3 linked regions of the Arabidopsis thaliana genome follow. The protein of the gene in region 2 purifies or fractionates together with the protein of the main gene of each other region. This does not show direct contact. Each region holds a gene or a part of one and is shown on either strand. Other genes may lie near its edges.

Region 1 (7,972 bases), on a different chromosome or scaffold from region 2:
TATTTCGTTATTGAAAGCAAATTCTCTCCATTGATATAGACATCTATGTTAGATATGACTTACTAGGTTAAGGTCATTACTTTCAGGCTTATTCCACAGTTGGCACTCCTGACTATATTGCCCCAGAAGTTCTGTTGAAAAAAGGATATGGAATGGAATGTGATTGGTAGGTGAAGCCAACCTATTCCTATTTGTGGTCTTTGATTTCTTTGGTGTAAATAAATAATATGGGTGAATAATCTTGAGATTTAGGTGGTCTCTTGGCGCCATTATGTATGAAATGCTTGTGGGGTTTCCGCCCTTTTATTCAGATGACCCAATGACAACTTGTAGGAAGGTAATTAATCCATTCCTTTTTGAATCTTTCATTTTAATATTGAAGGCAGACTGGCGATTTCAAGTCTTACATTTAATTTTAGTCTTTTTGTATCTCTTTGGTAATTCTAATGTGGAAACTTACCTCTTCTCGATTCATTATCTTCCCCCTTATGCAGATAGTAAATTGGAGAAATTACTTGAAATTCCCAGATGAGGTTAGACTATCACCAGAAGCCAAGGATCTTATTTGTAGGCTTTTATGCAATGTTGAACAAAGGCTTGGAACAAAAGGAGCAGATGAAATTAAGGTGTTGTATGCGTTGTTCAACTTTGAGATTCAAAGTTCCCTTATGTAAGATCATTGTGTGCAATTCTTAAAAACGATTTGACTGGTTTCTTTCAGGGTCACCCTTGGTTTAGAGGCACAGAATGGGGAAAATTGTATCAAATGAAAGCTGCCTTTATTCCCCAAGTTAATGATGAGTTGGACACCCAAAATTTTGAGAAATTTGAAGAGGTAACACACTGATACTATCAGCTAATGATGTCTATAGTGAAATATTGGTGCAATATATGCCACCAAATGATGTGGCATGATGTATATACTGAAATATTGGTATCACAGATGATTTTTATGCTCCTGATAAGGAAAATAATGTATACTCTTCTTTGATTCCTTCTGGAACAGACTGACAAGCAAGTTCCAAAGTCAGCCAAGTCAGGTCCATGGAGAAAGGTACAGCATAAGCACTGACTTTTTGGCATTATGTACCATCAAGCTTTTTTTTTTTATCTAATAGAAGAGTGATCATACTTCAAAATTTATCTATAAGTGGGTTCCTTGAGATATGTTGTTCTTTGATGATACTACAGACGTAGCTTAAAATATTACATGCAACAAAGAGCTCAGAATGATGAAATTGGCTCAGTTTCTGTCACAGGCGTTTCTATCTTTGTACTATATTCACAAAAACGTGATTCACTCTTTTAGGTTCAAATTTTCTTATGGTAATTTAGAATTTGGAGCTGATTGGGATGCTACTAACAGAATTATGTTGTTAATCTGCCAGTTCTGCATGTTGACGTGTGTTAGATGAATCACTTATCTTTTTGGACCAACATGATATAACTTAGAACCTGTTCTGTCAATAGAATTTATGTCATGAACCAAAAGGATTCTTGTGAATTTCATAACATGACGCTGGCTTTCTTTTTTTCTTCTCCAGATGCTCTCATCCAAAGACATTAACTTTGTTGGTTATACTTACAAGAACGTAGAAATCGTAAATGATGACCAAATACCAGGGATAGGTAATTCACTTAACCCCCCTTCCGTTGCTGAGGAAGAAGCAACAATACTAGATTACCTTGTGATTATCATCGCATGTTTGCTGCATTTGTAATTTGTTTTATTGTGCAGCTGAGTTGAAGAAGAAGAGCAATAAGCCAAAAAGGCCGTCTATTAAATCTCTCTTTGGTAAATCATCTGTTTGTATGCTATTTGTAAAATCAAGATGATTACGATCCATGTTTGATTCTCTCTAACCAAACTGTGGAAACTAAATTAACAGAAGACGAAACATCTGGTGGGACAACAACCCACCAAGGAAGCTTTTTGAATCTACTACCGACGCAGATTGAAGATCCAGAGAAAGAAGGTAGTAAGTCGAGCTCATCCGGGTGAATTTCATTTGACACATTGCACAGCCTGAACCAGAAGACTCTTGTTATATTAACATGTGTGTTGTTGATTTCGTTGAAAGCCTTTTGCTTTCTCTAAACGACTGTTAAAAGTTGGAGTTAGCAGGGGTTTTTCAACAAAGTACAGTCTCTCCAGTGGAAGCGAAGGCTCTCCCAGAGGAGAAAGATGGATTTGTTTAATTGTTTTCAACATAGAAAAGTGAAAAAGTAAATATTCTTTTCGGAATTGGCTTGTTTATTTATTTTCACAGGGAGAGAAGGTGAGCTTTGGTATTTGATTTTTTTTTTTTTGGTTAATCAAAACTTGGTTGTACTACTAAACCTCAAGATGAAATCTTCACCCTCTAATGCTATAAGCAAAAGTATTTACTATTTATTAGATTAGAAAAAGCGCCAATCTGAAAAACTGTTCTCACTGAATGTGTTTAATTGAGTACACTCAAGAGTGAAACAGATGGCTTAATGGCACCTCAGATTTGGTGCTAAAAGTCTACAGTCTACACTATATGTAGGCCTTTGGAACCAATTGCGTGTGAAGACTGAAGACTAAAAAGTGCATACAAAAGAAGTAGAGAACAAATGTACCTCTATGAGTATTCGTAGGCCCTTAAGAGACCTTCTTCAAATGTCAAAATAGTATAAAAAAGAAAAAAGACTAAGTGTGGCTGCTGGGATTCGAGCCCAGGTCCCCACGGCCACAACGTGGGATTCTAACCACTAAACTACAGCCACTTTTGTTTGTATTCTGTAGATTGATAATGATTAAAGAATCCACAATTGTTAGCCAAATTCCAAGCTTCTTGCCTTAACTTCTTTATTATGTGAAACGACCACGTTTTCATTTTATGATCTACTACTTCGGGTACACCGAACGAACCGGTCGGTTATTTCGGATTTAAATATTAACCGAAAACAATTAGCAGATAAAGGACTTGAAGAAAGATAGGGTTTAGATCTTCTTCTTCTTCTTCTTCTTCTTCTTCTTCTTCTTCTTCTTCTTCTAGTTGCTGCGAAACTCTGAAAAAGATGCAGGTATGTTCTCGATCCGAAACCCTAGCTTTTGTTGGTAAATTGGAAGAAGAAATAACCTAATTAGCTTCTTCTACCTTTGATTCTCTGTCTGTTTAATTTATCTATGTCGAAGAGAATTGGCTTAGACGAAATTAGGTCGATTTGTTTCTTATAAAGCATATATAGATGAAATCGGGAACAATTTGCTTTAAATTTAACATCTTTTGGTTTGGGTTTTTTTCTTTTGCAGGCAAGTGATAGGTTTAACATCAATTCTCAGCTTGAGCATCTTCAAGCTAAATATGTTGGAACCGGTCATGCTGATTTGAGTAGATTGTGAGTTTCTTTTGATTTTAGTGTTCAAATTTTTATATGCATTGTTTTTATTGGCTACTAATTTGTGGAATTGGTTTAAATGGTACAGTGAGTGGGCTGTGAACATTCAGCGTGATAGTTATGCTTCATACATTGGTCACTACCCTATGCTTTCATACTTTGCTATTGCTGAGAACGAGTCTATTGGACGAGAACGCTACAATTTCATGCAGGTTTGCCTCCTTTCATGTCTTTTGCATATTACTTTCTCTAGTGACAAATCTACAGTTCAAGATTTGGATTATGATTCTATGTTTATTTGATTAGGTGCGTATCATATGGTTATGTAACTTATGTTGCCTTCCAGATTTATTGCTTTGTTGTATGGTTTTTAGTTTACTGTTAAATGTCGTATTTGTCTATTCGTCGTGATATTTTGATTTCTTAGACCATGGACTTCAGTTTTGACTGACTATTTCAGCAGCCTCTAGTTCTGTAGGATACAATTATATTAGAGAGCGTTGGGTCATGGTCTTACTCAACTCGGTTGGTTTCGGTTTATTCGCCTCTTGCATGGTTGAAATGTGTGATAGGTTAGAATTTCATGTAGGTTTGCTTCCTATTCTCTGTGTTAATAGGAATCTTATCAGTAAAATTCTGTACTTTCCTTTTGCCTCATCCTTTATCTAGTGACAAATCTACAGTTCAAGGTTTGGATTATGATTCTATGTGTAGTCGATTAGGAATGTATCATTTCGTGGTTATCTTGTGGTATATCTCATTCCTTTTCCTTTTCAGATTCATTGATTTGTTGTATGGTTTTAGTTTAGGTCTTGTCAATGGCGTATTTCTCTATTTGTCGTGATATGTTGATTTCCTAGACTATGGACTTCACATTTCACTGACCATTCAGCAGCCTCCAGTTGTGTAGGTTACAATTAGATTATAGAGCATTAGGTTATGGTGTGGTCTCTCACTCAAATGTTTTCATTTGTCCTCAATTCTCAAATTAATGGAAGCTTAGTTCCTTTCACAAACAGTTGTGAGCTCGCCTTGGCTTTCAGTTTTTTCATGAAACAGGTCTCTTACATGGTTGAATAATCTTGTGATAGCGATCTCTTATATCTGAATATATGGTCTTCTTGAGGGTTAATCGAAAAGCATAGAAAAATATGAATATTTGTGGGGTGTTCTTTGCTCAAAAAATTGGTTACACTTTGTAGATGTGATGATGTTTTGGAATAACTTGAGATGTCTTTTGATTTCCAGAAAATGCTATTACCCTGCGGCCTTCCTCCGGAAAGAGAAGAGGAATAGGTGACATGAGGATTCGATTTGTCTTTCAAGTTATCAAGAACTCGTGTGATGGAATGTTGGTTTGGAGTTTTAAAAACTGTCCAATTTGATCTTCTGGTAGAGATTTATATGACTGTTAAAAAACAACTTTGTCTGTGTAAGTTTGCTTTTCTTGAATGTAAAAAACAAAACACCTTGGATTTTTAGGTTGGTTTTACACGGTTTCGTGTTTTAATCAAATTCATCAAAATTTTCAATTTTTGAACTATCCAAAAACCCGAATAATCCGACATAACCGTTATTGCATGCCTAGTTTGATTTGTTAAAAGTTCCCGACATAAATTCTTACCGTGGGATGTCCAAACGACAAGAAAACAACGGGTGTGACAAATGGACAAATAAAAGCAAAAAGCTTAGGCCACTTAAACCAAAAGCCATTTCATCAAACGTATTCTAAAATCTAAACTATAAATAATGTAATATCGTCAACGATGGAAGCCTATAAACACTATAGTTGATATAATCATACGCATCTATTATAAGCTTGCTTACTTATGGATAATTTTTCTTATTCTCTTTGACTTATTTTTGCCTAGTTTCATTGACCATCATAATACTTTAACAATACCGAAAGTTTCATAAACATTATAAAACTTTAGTCATTGTATACAATCCGAAAGTTTCATAAACATTATAAAACTTTAGTCATTGTATACAATTATCAATAAGTTTTGTTTCCCATGCATGTGAAATATCACTTGACTCAAGATGAATGGTCCTAACACGTTTACCTTTAGAGACACATGTTAATTTTCATATTGAAAATGAAAGTAAAAACAAAATGCTTAATATAGCATAGAAGAACATTAGCTATCCTACTAAATTACCATATAGAAGAAACTCATGAATTTCACACTGTGTTCATGAGTTCATCGAGAAGATCTACTAACGACATGTAAACTGGTTATTAAGTATGAGCTTGATTTCTCAAGACTCATCAACAAGTGTTCCATGTATCGACGTTACCAAGCGTTCGGGAGATCCACAAGTAAATGGATGCTTTCTTTTTTAAATTGTTTGAACTTTTATAAAATCAGGTCCTTTACATGCACTTCCAGAATCTGTCCAAGCGAGAGATCATAAGATAGAACAAAGTGATAATATGATAATATTGCGCTAGTACACGATTTGTTGACAGTTTAAATCCAAAAATGTTCATCAACATATTGGTACGATTAGTAAATGAGTAAAAAAAAACTTAAATAAATCAATGTAAATTGGGTGATGTATGTAGACTTAGGTATTGCACTAACTTGATTTTATTGATTCACAAAGTATAGTATTTATACAAGAGAGACATCTTATGAGATATACTCTAATCCCTAAAATATAGGACATAACTCTATCACAAGATATATAGTGATAATCTTAATGAGATTATACTCTATCCCCAATAATGTATCAAAATATATAAACGTAAAATGAAAATTTCAGCTTGAAAAATGACAAATGTAGAACTTTTTTTTTTGGTGGTAGATTCTGTTTTTAATAAAAATATATTATAAAGTTTTGCAAACTTGTTTCGTGTTGTTGTTGATTAAGTGATGTTTATGGTTATTACGAATTAGAGTTTTGGTCGTTAGAAAACAGAGAATTTAAATGTTAAACCGTGCACGAAAACAACTAATTTTTTCTTCTAAGTAATTAAAAAAAAAACAGTATACAAAAATAAAATAAAAAGATTCAATGAATGATAAATATTTACGTTGAAGTTTTGTCTTTCTTTAGGTTAAATTCAATTTTCACATATTCATTTCTTTATTATTCCCTTCTTCTTCTTTCTCTTTCTCTTTTCTTCCGCAAATCTCCGCAAAATCTTCCCTCAAACTCAGATCCGATTCTTCTAATTCTTTGTCCCCCCAGAGATTCTTCTTCTTTCTCCAAGTAAAAGAAAACAACTTTCTTTCTCTTTTCTTGCGAAAGTCCTCAACTTTCACCACTAAATCAGCTTCCTTCAATCACTGTGTTTGCTTTGGACCCAGTTTCTGATTTAGCGACTAGGGTTTTGATTGGAACCGTATTAAGTATATGAGAATCGGGTTTTACTGGTGAATCGGATTATCATCGGAATTCGGAAAAAGATGGATCGGAATCAAAAGATGGATCACGTTATCGGCGGGAAGTTTAAGTTGGGTAGGAAGCTTGGAAGTGGATCATTCGGTGAACTTTATTTAGGTATCAAATCAATCTATTCACATCTTGAGAGTGTTTACTAGTTCTTGCATTGGGTTTGTTTAGTTGTTGTTGAAGTGTAATCTATGTGTGTATGATTTAGGGATCAATATTCAAACTGGAGAAGAAGTCGCAGTTAAGCTGGTAATACTACGAATTTGTTTAAGTTATTTCATTCAAATTTTATAGATTTTGTGCTGAGGAAGGTTTCAATTTTGGATAATGAATCAATGTTATTTGCAGCTTGTTTTAAGTGAGACTAGTTTTGATTGGGAATAGAAGTGTAATTTGCAGCTTGTTCTCTTCTTATTCCTGATGGTTGCTGCTCTGTTATGGAAAGAAATGGTGTTAATTATGCAAGCTCCATTTCTGTCTTTGTGGTCTAATAATGGTTCTTTTTTTGACACTAGGAACCTGTGAAGACGAGGCATCCTCAACTGCAGTATGAATCGAAAATATATATGTTTCTTCAAGGAGGAAGTGAGTTTGGTTTGTCTTTCTCTGCTAGTTTATATGAAGTTTTAGTTCCAAGCCTCTGATACCTTGATATATTTTCTTTCTGTTAAATAGCGGGTGTTCCCCATCTGAAATGGTTTGGAGTTGAGGGTGAATACAGTTGCATGGTTATCGATCTTCTTGGGCCAAGCTTGGAGGACTTATTCAATTACTGCAAGCGAATATTTTCATTAAAATCTGTTTTAATGCTTGCAGATCAATTGGTAAGTACTGAGTAATGAGTATGCCCTTTCTTTAAGATGTTAGGTTGGTCGTTGAGAGTATGTTGTATCAATGCAGATATGTAGAGTTGAGTATATGCATTCGCGGGGTTTTCTTCACCGCGATATTAAACCAGACAACTTTTTGATGGGTCTTGGGCGCAGAGCAAACCAGGTAATCTACCGATTCAGCATGAGTTGGTGTATGTTTTGAAGATGTCTTTAGAATAAATCTGTGTGTGATTCTTAGCATAGGAGTAGTACTGAAGCCTTCTGGTTTACTGAATTAATTTCTAACCTCAGGTGTATATCATTGATTATGGCCTTGCTAAAAAATACAAGGATCTTCAGACACAAAAGCATATACCATACAGGTGAGATAT
Region 2 (7,017 bases):
TTTATTTAATATAGTTTGGCAACATCTAGCAAAAACTATCAATCCAACGCATATGTTTCCTATTTATTAATTTGCGTCGTTAATATCAAGATAATTAATTTATCAATTATCAACACTACACGTGCTTATATATGTCTCGTATAATGCTAATTATCATCATTCATCACATAGCTCCCAAAGTCTCGTGTAGTGTTAAAAACAAAGAAAAACTAATTTATGATAGTTTAGTGGTTGAATAATTCATTTTAAGATTAAGAGAGAGTGGTACATACTTGTAGTGTGTGGGTGAGACCGAGAGGAAGAAAACTCTAGTGAGAGGAGAATTGATATAACGAAGGACCCAACTAGACCACGTTCCTAGTCCTTTTCTCAACGCCACTAACCTATCCATGTCGCCGTAATATCTCCCACCTGTCTCCATCTGCTCCCACCTGTCTCATCCCAAAAAACTTTCACTATTCACTCATAATTTACAATAATGATCTATATGTTACCCTCCTAGTTATAGGTATGTGAAAAATTTCACTTATATAGAGGTTATAACTTTAGCTTACCCTCGTAAAGAACCTGTGTGGCTCCACCAGTGACCAGTGTTGAACAATAGAACGTCGGCTGTGCGCCAAGCATTCGATGCATCCACAGAGATTTCGTCGAGTTTAAGAGTTGTCTTTCCGTTAATTTTGTCGATGTCTACAAGATAAGGAGCTCTATAGAATGATACCTTCACGTTGTAGTCCTGTCATTGCATATACACATTAGCAAAGAACTGGAAGTAACTTGAGGTATAACTTAAGGTTTGAATGGTAACAAACAATAGTTTGTTTATCGCCTTTCAACTAATTTTAATGAATAGACCTAAACTTATTTTCAGCAAATTAAAATTGTTTTCATTTAAGTGCCTTAAAAGAATAAAGCTGAAAGCTAAAATTGTTTTCTTATCGGAAACTTAAAGAAAGTATTATTAAAGTAATATAAGAACTTCAATTTATAGCAAGAAAATTAATTCAGATTAATTAAAATGACTTCTTTCTAGTGGTCTTATTCTAATCCGAAGAGCTTAGATCAAAATTATCTGAAAATAAACTAATATTCCATATTCATACCAAAAAAAAGAAGTATAATACTGTAGATTAGTAGTAACTGATATTGCTTTATTGGACCAGTGAAACTGTCACCGACGACGTCAAGTTGTGAGGGTAATAATAGTTGAAAACGACGTTCAAAATTACAACTTTTGACCTCAATTTTCACGAGGTTATTCGAGAAAACTTGACCAAACAGAAAAAAAGTTTCATTTACCGACAATAGAAAATTTGTTTTGGGAACTTACAAGGATCTTGAAGGTAGAGAGAGGATCTTCATGAATGATGTGAGTATTAATGGACGGTGCTGATGAAGAGATCATACATATCAACGACTCCCATTGGTTTCTACCCAACGAATCACCAACGAACATTATGGTTTTGTCTCTCATTTCTTGTAGAAACTTCACTCCATTGAATCTGCTTTCCCAAATGGAGTATAATCAGAAAGGGGTTCCATAAATAAATCATTGCGTCGACATTACATATTTAAAATAATAAGTACTTATTATATTAACCGTACCAAACTCCACCTAATTAACAGTAAAATCAATTTGTTTTTTGTTAAAAACGAATCTGTTAAACTTGTACTTATTACACATTTAGAAAAGGAGAATCTCTCATAATTAACTAATAGAAAAATATATTATAAAGTTGTATGTATGTAATACCCCTAATTATGAAAAAAATGTAGTGAAGGAATGTCTATAACCATAAAATATTAAATACTAACAAATAATTTGGGATCATTGTATGATCCAAATACTATCGTATATATATGACAATTCTTGGTATAACCAGCTAGAATTTGTTTTTGTCTTTTTCATAAAGTAATCAAATTTACAATCTTGGTTGGTATAGTGGCCCTACCAAAAATTCATTTGCCAAAGCATAAGTTTTACTATTGGATGTCAGATTATAACCTCGGTATCAATAAAATGAATATTTCTTCCTCAAAAACAAGACAACTAAAATTAACATTAACCAAATTAATCTAACAAAGTAGAGCTAGTGACAAGTGAGTGAGTTTAAATAACCTAGGGACATTGCAGTTGAAAGGTTTCCACCGGAACTTGAGATAGTCGGAGTCAGGTCTGCCGTAAGTCTGGCAGTCGAATCCCGGATCTATGATTCCTCGGCCGCATTCTTTAGACCGGTAAAGTGGGTAAGTCTCATCCCGCACCCACTCGCCGGCGAACAGATCACAACTACTATGATTCACCGGGAAAACCACCTGACTTCGGCGAGGATGCTTCACGAAGTTGCTGTGGTTGCTTTGGATCGGCCGCCGGAAGAGAGGGAGAGGTGAAGCTGACGTCGCGTTTTGGAGAAGAAACAAGAAGAGGAAAGTGAGACATTGAACAGCCGCCATTAAAGAAGCGCTTGAAGAAAAGAAAAGAAAAGAGAGAGAGAGAAACGAGTAAAGAAGAGAAGTTGTTGTTATTATATGTTTGTCCTTTGCATGGAACTTACTAATACGTAATGTTTTCGAGGACTCCATCTTTTAAAAGGACGAAAAATATGGGGTCGGGTTTTAATTTATTTTCTTATAATAATTGAATTTAAGTATTTATGCTTTACCCATAAATAACAACATTTAATACCAGTATTAGTGAATTACGAGTTACTGCTCCGGACTCTGAAACTTAAACGGTTTTGGGAAACACATATAAAATCAATGTGTAACAGTAAAACAAACTTCAAACGTATTATCAATAGAAAAAAAGGTAAAACAAACGTATCAAGAATTCAAGGTATATAAATATAATAGATAACGAGTTAACGACCTTCTTTATGATCTCACAAGGTATCAAGATTTTGTAATTGTTCCTTAGAGAAAATACAAAAATGCAGATTCTTTGCTTTACTTTACCTCCATGTCTAGAATATGATCATTTTTTTTATAATTGTGAAAAAGCCACGTCACTGTGGTGATACTCAGTCAAAGCTAGGTCAATGAAATTACCAATTTGGCACTGACAGTGGCAGCTGCTAGTTGCGCACACTCATAAACGGTAACGTTTGGACCGGGTCTAAATTGGGTACTATTGATTAGGACATGGTTTAATTGATTTGACTGCCGGTTTGGTTTGGAGCAACTTAAACTAATCTGGTCCAATAATAATGGGCTTTTACTTTGGGCTTTAAAGATTCTGATTGGACCCACTTTACTAAACTGGAATCTGGATGCTTCGTTATTTGTGTAGAATCCGACCCGATTCGTTTTATTGCTCTTTTTGCTTCGTCGTCGATCTTGGCGCTCTGGAAATTTCTCGTCGCAACGTTCTTCTCTATTGGCTCAAGTTAGATCTCCCTTTACTTGTGTGAGTTTTATTTCACCTTTTTCTGGGGTTTGTTTATTTTGTGTACTGATTTCGTTGCTCTGAAATCTTAGGGTTTGTATTTTGTAATGTCTATGCTTATTGATGGAGCTTTCGGTAGTTTGATCAAATTTCAAATTTCTTATCGATAGTTTCTCTTCCACGATTTTGTTGGGTTAGTAGAGTAGGCCTCTGGAACTGGAAATTAGAAAATTTTGGCTGGAACTGATGCATGTAAGGTGTTCGACGAAATTCCTCTGAGAAACTATTAGTGACAAGCTTCTTTTTTGAAGTTTTACTTTCTTTTCTGATTCTCTAACTGTTGATTAGAGTTTAGTTTTTCAGTAGTTTTATTAATTCCTAGTCTCCATTTAGTTGGAAGGAGCTTATTAGTTTTCTTTTACTAAGCTATCTCTTGCTCACCTTTTCCTTTGTGAATGAGTATATAGACAAATGACCTCTTTTTGCTTTTGTTTTGGTTTGCAGATCAAACACTGTTCCAGTAAGCCATGGCGAAGCATCACCCTGATTTGATCATGTGCCGGAAACAACCCGGAATTGCTATTGGACGACTGTGTGAGAAATGCGATGGGAAATGCGTGATTTGTGATTCTTATGTGCGTCCGTGTACTCTAGTACGTATTTGTGATGAATGCAACTACGGGTCATTCCAAGGTCGGTGTGTTATATGCGGTGGCGTTGGAATCTCAGATGCTTATTACTGCAAAGAGTGTACACAGCAGGAGAAAGACAGAGATGGTTGCCCCAAGATTGTTAACCTTGGCAGTGCGAAAACCGATCTCTTCTATGAACGCAAGAAATACGGATTCAAAAAACGATGATAGTTCGGTATTTCGTGATTTGTACGGTCCTTTGATTACTTGATTTGGATCTCTTATGCTATGTGTAAACTTGTTTGTTGACCCCCGTTGCATAAAACATATATTCCAATAAAACCTGAAGATATTGGATACAAAACCTAAGTTATGCTTTGTTTTATGATTTTCTTAAGTTACACATGTTTCTCTCGATTATTTCTTAATACTTAAAAATTATATATATCATAATCTTACAAAGCCAAAGGAATATATTTATAACCAGACTCGAACAAACATGACAAGACCCGAGATTCATATTCGAGAAATGATGTTGTGAAGTCCGGTTCATCGATCAAGCAGTCGATAGTGATATAAAATTGAGTCTATCGTAAAATTTATCCCACCAAAATCCAATAATATCACCAGTCTTGAACTTTCTTTTATCAAGAATGTTACTCCATCCGTGAAACTTGAAATTTCCATCTTGCTCTTTTTTCATAATAAGAGTTGTTGTAATCTTCGAATCGTATTCGTATAAATCCAACAATTGTACCGAATCGTGTTGTGACAATTTTACACGACGATGTTTACTAAACCATGGAAATAAGTTTTTCTCTACAAACTCTTTAGGCATTGTTAATGTATTACTCAAACCTGTGTCTGATGCTTTCAACTTTATCAGGATGTTCAATGAATGGCTTGGATCAAACGGCTTATCGTGACACAACTCAGTTCTTGCCATGATTTAGCACAGAAATTATATGAATATCAGGTTTTGTATTGAAGAATTTGTTTATGGGTTAAGGATACATATATATATATATATATAACAATAATTGTGTTGCGTGGATGATTGTAATTAAGAGTTTTTGACAAAACAGATATGGTTTTTTCTTTCTCTCATAAATATCATAAGATTCACTATTGATTAAACATTTGGTATTTAAATATAATCAAAGTTTAAAATTAGTACTAGATTTTAACCCACGGTATACCGCGGGACGATTTATTTTGTAAAAGTAATATATATTAAAACTTGCAAATTTTATTTTTATAAAATATTTATATTTTACAGTTTATAATTGTTGTTAAGTAACGCTATACCACGAATCAATGAGACAATTGTTAAAAAACTGAAGTTTTAACCCCTATTAAAACAACATATTAATAATATTTTAAAAAATTTTAAATATTAATTCAAATACATCCACCATATAACACAATTCCAAAATAAAATCCGTTCTGTAATTTCTTTACCCGTCCCGTGATTTTTTTTAAAGTAGTAATTTTAAAATTTTAAGAATTATTTTTTATATATAAAAGTTTTGCAAATTGTATCATTCTCTAATACATTTATATTTTATAGTTTAATTTTATATATAGTAACATTATACATACCACATAACATTTTTGGTTTTATATAATCTTTTCTAAATTAGGATTATTTGATATATTTAATATTAGTGGTCTTAAAAAATAATAAATTAAAGATTTAACTTGTATTGAAACGGTGGATTGATTATATTTTACTTTTTTATTAATGTTGATTCAAAAACCCGTCCCTCCAAATCCGTCTTACCAAAAAGCCATTTATTTTATTAATATTAATTTTATTAATGATATGACTCTGAATTATAATCTAAACATTTTAGCTAATAACATAGGAGTGCACTATATTTATTTATTATGGGAATGTACCTTATGACCCGAATGCACTTTTACCCAAATCCACCAAAAAAAATCTTGCAAAAATACTATAGAGATAATAAACGATAGTCGGTTCTGATAGGTATAAGATTAGCAAATATATTAGTTAGCTTTTATTAGTTAAAGAATACAAATTGAAAAGGTATATTACACTTTATTCAAATATAGTATCAAAACTTATATAACACAGAGATTTGATAATTTTTTAATTGTTGAGTACTTTTTTTTGTGCTAATTTTTATGTGATTAAGATTTAATTGATTTCGTATATAAAATTATTAAATTGTTTTACGAACTTATTTGTTTATAATTTGGTAACAGATAGATATTCGAATATTTAGTATATTTTGCTTTAGTTTAGGAAATCTTTGATGACCCGTTTTTAGATCCAATAAGCCCTATAATCTAGATATTAACCTGCAGTATACCGCATGTAGGCTTATTATATATTAGTTAAACTAAAAACTTTTACTGTAAAGATGATTTTAAAATATATGATATTATTTTATTTGATTTTAAATGTATAGTAAACTGTGAGTTGTATATGTTTTGTTGATATTATCTATATTGTTTAGTGTTTAAGATTATACACATGTAGTTTGATTGTTAATTTAAGAGTTTCACCTGTATTATACCATCTTGTATTAATATCGATCTAAACCCGTCAATTCTAGGATTTTCGAGCTTGTATTAAAAATTAAATCACATCATACACATAAAAAAAATCTAATATGTTATTAATTATTGTAGTATATAAGATTATAAATTTTCAATATAATATGTATAAAATTGAATATAAATATTTCAAATTATGACCTGTTACTCAGTAGAAAGTTTTCTTAAATCTATTTTTCACCCGTTATAATATTTTTTCATGTATTGAACAATTTATATTCGTTTTTAAAAATTCAAATTATGGCATATGCGAAAAAGTCTAATTCTTTTTTTATAATGATGATTTTATTTTTTCGAAAAATAGAATCATATAAAGATGAGAAGTGAACTATAATAATTAATAAAAAATTAATAAGATAATTTAGATATCAAATCTAATTTGTTGGTTTTAATTGGTTACTTTTTCGGAAATTA
Region 3 (7,333 bases), on a different chromosome or scaffold from region 2:
TGAAACATATGTTCCCTATGCGACGTCGTTTCTGTCTCTGAACAAAAGATGAAGTCAAAAAAGTTTCACACTTCATTATTACCAATAATCTCCACAAGAACAGTTTCCACGGTTGAAATGGTGGAATCTGCTATTATCCCTAACGATAATCTCTCTTTCCGTGATCTTCGAGATAAACTTGATTGCGACATGACAATCCGTGCATATCCTTATATTCTTAGTGACTCTAATTGTCGTGCCAGGTTCTGTGTTGATGATACCAAAGGCAACAGCCAATCTCTCACTGTGTCCGAACAAAAGCTCTCTCTTATGCTCTTCGTCTACATCGTGAAGCACGCCGCTTGTGTCTGCAACATACCCTTCTTTCTCCATCTGTTCCATTACAGCTTTAAGAAACTCGTTGATCTTGTCCATACTCGGATGCGATCTATCTCCTGAAACAAATCCATGAGTCTTGTTTTTCATTTCGATCCAACTACAAGCTGGCTTTTTCCGCAATCCTTTCTTCCTCATACGCAATCTTAGTTTCGCCATTTCTTTCCATCTTCCATTAGACGCATACATATTGCACATCAAAACATAAGCTCCCATGTTTTCAGAATCGACAGTGAATATCTTCTCCGCTACCTTCTCAGCCAACTCAAGATTCTTGTGAACGCTGCAAGAAGACAATAAGGTAGACCAGACACTACCAGTTGGTTCAACACACATCTTTGAAATGAAATTGTATGCTTCTTCCAGCTTCCCTGCACGGCCTAGAAGATCCGCTACAGCTGCATAATGTTCTAACTCCTGGTTTAAACCGTAAACCTTAGTCATGCTGTTGAAATATCCCCATGCCTCATCTACCAACCCCACATGACTACAAGCCGTTAGTACAGCAACAAATGCCACTTGATTCGGTTTCACTCCTTGTCGTTTCATCTCCTCAAACAACGAAACTGCTTCATGCCCATGACCATGTAACGCATGCCCCATTATAATAGCCGTCCATGATACTTCATCGAGTACATTCATCCTGTCAAAAATCTTCCTAGCAGCCTTAATATTCCCACATTTCGAGTACATATCAACAAGTGCACTAGCTATGAATATGTTACTGCCAAAGCCACCCCTTAATACATATCCGTGAAGTTGTTTCCCAAGGTGCAAGGTGGCTAGGTGAGCACAAGCAGGAATCACACTTGAGAACGCCACAGCCCCTGGCTTAACCTTTGCGGTCACCATTTGCCTGAACAATCTCAGAGCCTCATTGTATCTACCATTCTGTACATACCCAGCTACAAGCGAGTTCCACGAGATACCATCCCGACAATACAAGCGAGAAAACACTCTTTCAGAGTCTTCAATCCGAGCACTTTTCGCATACATATCAACCAAACTACTCCCAATATATACATCACTATCAATCCCTTTCCTAATCACATACCCATGAATCTCTTTCCCCTTAATAACATCCACATACTCAGAAAATATCGGAAGCACACTAGACAAAGTAAAAGAATCAGGCTTTAAGTCAGTAGTTCCCATCTCCCTAACCATTCTCAAAGCATCTTCATACATTCCACTCTGTGCATACCCTGCAATGATAGTATTATACGACACAACATCCTTTCTAGGCATCACTTCAAAAACCCTCCTCACACTGTCTATTCCAAAAGGCATAATGCAAGTTTCAGCCTTTACATCTTCGTCTCCAGAATTGGACGTTCTTTGAGGCATTTCATCGAACACATTACCTACACTAATCTTAGAACCCATACCAAGAAGCTTAGCATACATATTCATAAGCGCATTACCAGTATACAAATCACAATCCATACCAAGCCTAACAATAAACCCATGAACAGACTCACCAAATCTCAAATCCATCATCATCGTACACGATTTCAAAACAGAAGGAAACACATTGTGATCTGGGCATCTCCCAGAAGCTCGCATTTCCACAAACGAAGCTAACGCCTTGGAGAATAGAGACTGGTCGGTGAAGCATCTGATTACTGACTTCCATGCTAGAACAGGAGGAGACTTAAGGGTTTTGAAAAGAAGCAAAGCTTCGTGCAAAAGTTTAAGGTTTGTGTAGATTGAGATTACGATTGAAGCTGATGTATGAGAGAGTGATTGAGTTCTGATGAATTGTGCGTGAAGCTGCTTCGCTTGAGATTTGGATTTGATTCGAGTTGGATTCTTAATCAGGGTTTTGATTAGGGCTTTTGATGAACTCATCTTTGTCTCCTTCTCAGAGATTCACCATTAGCAAACATAAAGGTTTGATTTTTATTTTCGTCATTCATTTAAATACTCCAACTTTTAACCTCTTTTTTTTATGACTTGTTCAATTCAATTCTTTTGCAATAGTTGTTCGAGTAGCAAAAAGACTTTGAGTTTGACAATTGTATCAAGACTATAACAAAGTACAAATGTTTAGATCATGATCAACAACTGCATTATGAACTAGAAACAAGAAGAAGCCTTTTCGGCAATTACATTGGTGGAGCAGTTAAAGAAGATTGCACACAAGCTTCTAAGAAGTAGAATGTTTTTTTTAATTTCAAATGCACACAAGCTCTTACTCGTCTTCTCTTTCTGGAGGAAGGCCGCAAGGTAAGAGCATTTTCTGCAAAAAAAAAATCAAAGAAGTTTGGAGTTAGTAAAAGCTATTAGCAAAAATGCAAAGTCATTGACTCTTGAGTGTAGAAGAACCAGAAGATAACAGTTTGAAACAACCCTCAAGATTGGTAGTTTCCTGCTAACTTACGATATGATACAATCTGTTTTTGACAAATACAGGGTAAGGGTTAAAAGAGTTTCATGCTGCTCCCCTTTCCGGTTGCAGAGGCCAAGTAAATATCTTTGAGGAAGTTCCATTCTCCATTCTTAAGGGTAAGGAGTTGTTGCTGATATCAGAAGGAGGAATGTTGAAAAACTAGAATTATAGCAGGTTTTCTTGAGGCCCACAAGTTCCTTGAAGAGAAAGATATTTACTGGCTTCTCCAAGCTAAAGAGGGGAGCAGCAGGAACACTTTACCCTGTTTGAAACAACCCTAATTGTTCCTCTCCCTTAAGACACTAACACATTAACATTCTCAATATGATTCCTTGACATGATGCAAGAAGAAAGATAGTAAACAAACCTGCATGAAGTTGTAACGTTCTCGACCAATAGATTCGTTCTCAGCTATTGCAAAGTAAGAAAGCATCGGGTAGTGACCAATGTATGAAGCATAACTATCACGCTGAATGTTCACAGTCCATTCACTAACACAAAAACATTCAAAATTTTCAATAAGTTCACAATTTTGGAATCCTGAAAAATCCAAACAAAAAGTGAAAAATACTTACAATCTGCTCAAATCTGCATGACCTGTACCAACATACTTAGCTTGAAGATGCTCAAGCTGAGAATTTATGTTAAACCTATCACTTGCCTGCACAAAAACAAAAAAGTGAGATTACATAACTATCTGCTGCTTAAAAACCTAACCTTTACAAGAACTAAAGCAAATTGTTCCCAGATTTCAGCTACGCTTAGCTTAATCGTCAAGAAATTGTATAAAATTAGAGATAAGAACAAAAAAAAGTAACTAGGGTTTCGAATCGAGAGAGACAAACCTGCATCTTTCAGACTTCAGCGAGTTCGCAAGAAGAAGAATACAACTTCTGCTTCACTTTAATTAGGTTTATATATGTTTCACTGAGAAATTGATTGGGCTTTGAGAATGGGTCTGGCCCAAATCCATTACTAATAAATTTTTAATACGTGGCTATTATTATGAGAACCGGTACAAAAGAAAACCAAACCAGAACCGGACATTTCAATCAAACCAAATCATTAACTTTTAAATTTGGGATAAAAAAAACGTGAACTTCCGAAATGCCGCTAAAATTATAAAATTTCGTCTGACTTTTGATAAAATGATTAAGTTTCGTTGACTTTACTATTTTGGGCATGTCGTTAAATTTCCGTTAACAACAAAATAACGGAGTTAACTTTTCGTTAACATTTTCCGTTAGAAGCGAAACGACGTCGTTTCAAAATAAAAATATATTAAAATTTGCGCCAAGAATGGATTGAACTCGTGAACCTCCTAAATTATCACAAGCGCTCAACCAATATGCTATGATAACATTTCGATATTAATGAAAACTGATATATATATATATACGCAAAACTAATTAAAAACCGAACTATTTTTTTTTTTTTTCCTTCCAATAACTTTATTAATTCACGTGTTCAGCATCTTTGTTTACAAACGACATTAGAAATCTAGGACAAAAATGATATAGAGTATGATTTATATGATTAGCTACTGCTTTTTTCGCCAGAACATCAACACAAACGTTTTGTTCCCGGTGTCGAAATGTGAACTTCACAGTGGTGAAAGCTTTGCTCCATTGTTGAATGAATTCCAAATAGTATCGAAGTCGTGGATTAGTTTCTTTGTTTCGAATAAGGCGATTAACTGTGATGTTGTCGCCTTCAAATTCTACTCTCCTATATCCCAAATCCCAAGCGCATTGTATTGCCCATATGAGGGCAGTGCATTCAGCTTCCTTTATTGTTTGTCGACCCTGAAATTTCCCGCAGCCGCAGTCCAAACAGGTTCCTTGTGAGTTTCGAATAATCCATCTGAGGCCTGAGTCTTGTCTTCCCGCATGGTTAGAGACATCATAATTGCATTTGACCCATTCTGCTCCTGGTTTTTGCCATTTGTCCGTTCTTGAGGACTTGGTTTGGCCCCCTTTGACGTTGTCATCATTTTTATGCTTAACATCCAGCCATTCTTTCGTGTCCATTATCGCTTGGTTTATCACATCAGCGACAGCGATTGCTTTTTTGTTGAAGACTAAATCATTCCGGCTCTTCCAAATCCTCCATATTAACCAAAATGGCAAATAAAAATATTAAAAATGATGTAAATTATAAAAATGCACCTACCAAATAAAAACCGAACTATAAAAACAATAACTAAACATGTAAAAATATTAAATACACCTACCATTAATATATATTCTCAAATAACAATGTAAATTTTTTTATTAAACGTATTGAATTAAAAAAAAATTCTCTTAAATTATATAAAAATCAAACTTGTGAAATATAACACCTATAAATATATTACCAAAAAATAACTTTTTATATACTTTCCATCTAATTATGAATAAAAAAATTGATTTGAAGACGGAATAATGATCTTATATTTTTCTTTTATTAAATATTTATCAAATTAATTTATAAAATATATGTTTTATTATAAATAAAATTATATATAAAGTGAAGTTGAATGAAATTCTATGTGCATGTATAGATTAATCCTATATTCATATGAGAAGGATTGTGTAAATTTTAGGTAATTTTCTATATTATTGATTTATTTTAGTTGGTTATTTTTAATTAGTTACGTATATATATATATATATGTATATGTTTACTATACTTCTAAAAAGTTAACGTGGCTCAATGGTTTTAGTCCTTCAATAGCACCTAAAAGGTCACCAGTTCAACTCTACTTGGTGTTTGTTTTTTGTTTTTTTCTTTAATTTCAAAACGACGTCGTTTCGCTTTTAACAGAAAAAATTAACAGAAAATTAATCACGTTATCTTTTTGTTAACGAAAACTTAACGACATGTTCAAAATGGCAAAGTCAACAAAACTTGACTATTTATCAAAAGTCAAACAAAAGTTTACGATTTTAATGGCATTTTGGAAGTTCATGTTTTTTTCGTCCCAAATTTGAAAGTTCATGATTTTTTTGACATTTTTCCCATTGTCCGCTTTAGAACTGTGTGGTAAACAAACCAAATTTGATTTTTACCCAAACAAAACAATCAAACAAATAAATAAAACCACATTCTGAAAATGACTATTTACTTCCTTTTGCTTCAAACTAAACCTTTTGAACAACCAAATATTATCCTATGTAGAAACTGTTGAACAAATCCTTAATCTTCTCACACAATAGCCTTCACCGCCACAATGGAAACTGTACTATCTCCAACCGTAAATCCGCCACCTCAAACCGTGTTTTGGTGTGTTAACCGGGACCAAAGTGTAGCAAAGAGTCTGGTTTAGGATGTGGCATTGTCGAAACGTGTGGTGGAAGATGATAGGGTTTCACTAGATGAGCTTGATTTGTCTTCTTTCTCTGGAACTTCGATTTGTGTTGGCAAGAGTTTCATAAAGCTTCCTTGGTGGCTTGTGGTGCTACTGGCTGATTCATCCTCTGCCAAATGTTTTTATAACAATTCTTGTTAGTGCTAAAACCATATGCTAATATCAGACAATGAGTTGAAATAGATTGTGATAAATGTCTTTTAGATAAGTACCAAAGAGGGATTTAATTGATGGCCGCTTTGGCTTTGTGCTCTTCTTCTTCAGCTCAGCTGCAACAGTAAACACAATCACAAATTACAACAGAGCAAACATGGAATATGTTTACTTACAAGTCAAATTTGTTGTGTAAGTGAGATCTACCTATCCCTGGTAATTGATCATGGTTTACGATTTCAACGTTCTTGTAAGTATAACCCACAAAGTTTATGTCTTTGGATGAGAGCATCTGGAGAGAAAACAAAACACAAAGACACTCTTATGTTAAGAATGCTAATGACAACACATAGTATTAGTTCATATGCATGACTTCAAGCTAAGTTTTCATTTCATAGAAAGACATGAAAGCAAGAATATTTTGTACCTTTCTCCATGGACCTGATTTTGGCGTCTTCGGAACTTGCTTATCAGTCTGTTACAGAAGAATTTATATTAGTTTCTATATCAACAGCTGCATACGCATCATTGGACCGTTGCCTTATCATTTCAAACGGTTTTTCTGATCCGAACACTTTTAGTTTTTACCTCTTCGAATTTTTCGAAATTTTGGGTGTCCAGCTCGTCATTAACTTGGGGAATAAAAGCAGCCTTCATCTGATACAACTTTTCCCATTCGACACCACTGAACCAAGGGTGTTCCTACAAAAAATACCAGCAGAAAGCGTTTATTTAAGCATTTATCGATAGTCTTTAGACACGGGAACTTCGAATTATAAAGCACAAAGTACCTTAATTTCATTTGCTCCTTTTGTTCCAATCCTTTGTTCTACGTTGCATAAAAGTCTACAAATTAGATCCTTGGCTTCTGGTGATAGCCTAACCTCATCAGGGAATTTTAAATAATTTTTCCAATTTACTATCTGCATTAAAAACAATAACAAGTATTCAGAGATGTGCATATATTACCAAAGAGGTATCATTAGAAGATCAAGAACTAAATCGAATGCAAAAATTTGAGATTACTAGAAGTCTAGAACAGAGTTAAAGTCCACAAAAAGTGA

The links.
Region 1: the proteins of AT2G30000 (region 2) and AT4G14342 fractionate together in Arabidopsis thaliana (co-fractionation; one large-scale study listed by BioGRID). This does not show direct contact.
Region 3: the proteins of AT2G30000 (region 2) and AT3G23325 fractionate together in Arabidopsis thaliana (co-fractionation; one large-scale study listed by BioGRID). This does not show direct contact.

The regions. Positions count from the first base shown.
Region 1 is NC_003075.7:8,250,479-8,258,450, reverse strand, and holds AT4G14342 (Splicing factor 3B subunit 5/RDS3 complex subunit 10), read left to right. Parts: upstream 1-2,846; 5' UTR 2,847-3,045; coding exon 3,046-3,051; intron 3,052-3,280; coding exon 3,281-3,366; intron 3,367-3,454; coding exon 3,455-3,668; 3' UTR 3,669-3,951; intron 3,952-4,614; coding exon of another isoform or gene 4,615-4,662; 3' UTR 4,663-4,915; downstream 4,916-7,972. Other genes in the region: AT4G14350 (AGC (cAMP-dependent, cGMP-dependent and protein kinase C) kinase family protein), read left to right, coding at 87-166, 253-337, 495-626, 722-835, 1,007-1,054, 1,545-1,629, 1,739-1,795, 1,890-2,002; CKI1 (casein kinase I), read left to right, coding at 6,783-6,876, 6,977-7,017, 7,284-7,353, 7,444-7,592, 7,669-7,764, 7,893-7,963.
Region 2 is NC_003071.7:12,801,270-12,808,286, reverse strand, and holds AT2G30000 (PHF5-like protein), read left to right. Parts: upstream 1-3,262; 5' UTR 3,263-3,406; intron 3,407-3,889; 5' UTR 3,890-3,912; coding exon 3,913-4,245; 3' UTR 4,246-4,464; downstream 4,465-7,017. Other genes in the region: TBL45 (TRICHOME BIREFRINGENCE-LIKE 45), read right to left, coding at 273-431, 555-736, 1,331-1,502, 2,120-2,583.
Region 3 is NC_003074.8:8,342,093-8,349,425, reverse strand, and holds AT3G23325 (Splicing factor 3B subunit 5/RDS3 complex subunit 10), read right to left. Parts: upstream 3,657-7,333; 5' UTR 3,619-3,656; coding exon 3,613-3,618; intron 3,429-3,612; coding exon 3,343-3,428; intron 3,259-3,342; coding exon 3,135-3,258; intron 3,060-3,134; exon of another isoform or gene 2,770-3,059; intron 2,618-2,769; coding exon 2,570-2,617; 3' UTR 2,284-2,569; downstream 1-2,283. Other genes in the region: AT3G23330 (Tetratricopeptide repeat (TPR)-like superfamily protein), read right to left, coding at 79-2,226; AT3G23320 (Polynucleotidyl transferase, ribonuclease H-like superfamily protein), read right to left, coding at 4,222-4,797; AT3G23310 (AGC (cAMP-dependent, cGMP-dependent and protein kinase C) kinase family protein), read right to left, coding at 6,071-6,225, 6,329-6,385, 6,477-6,561, 6,697-6,744, 6,858-6,971, 7,061-7,192.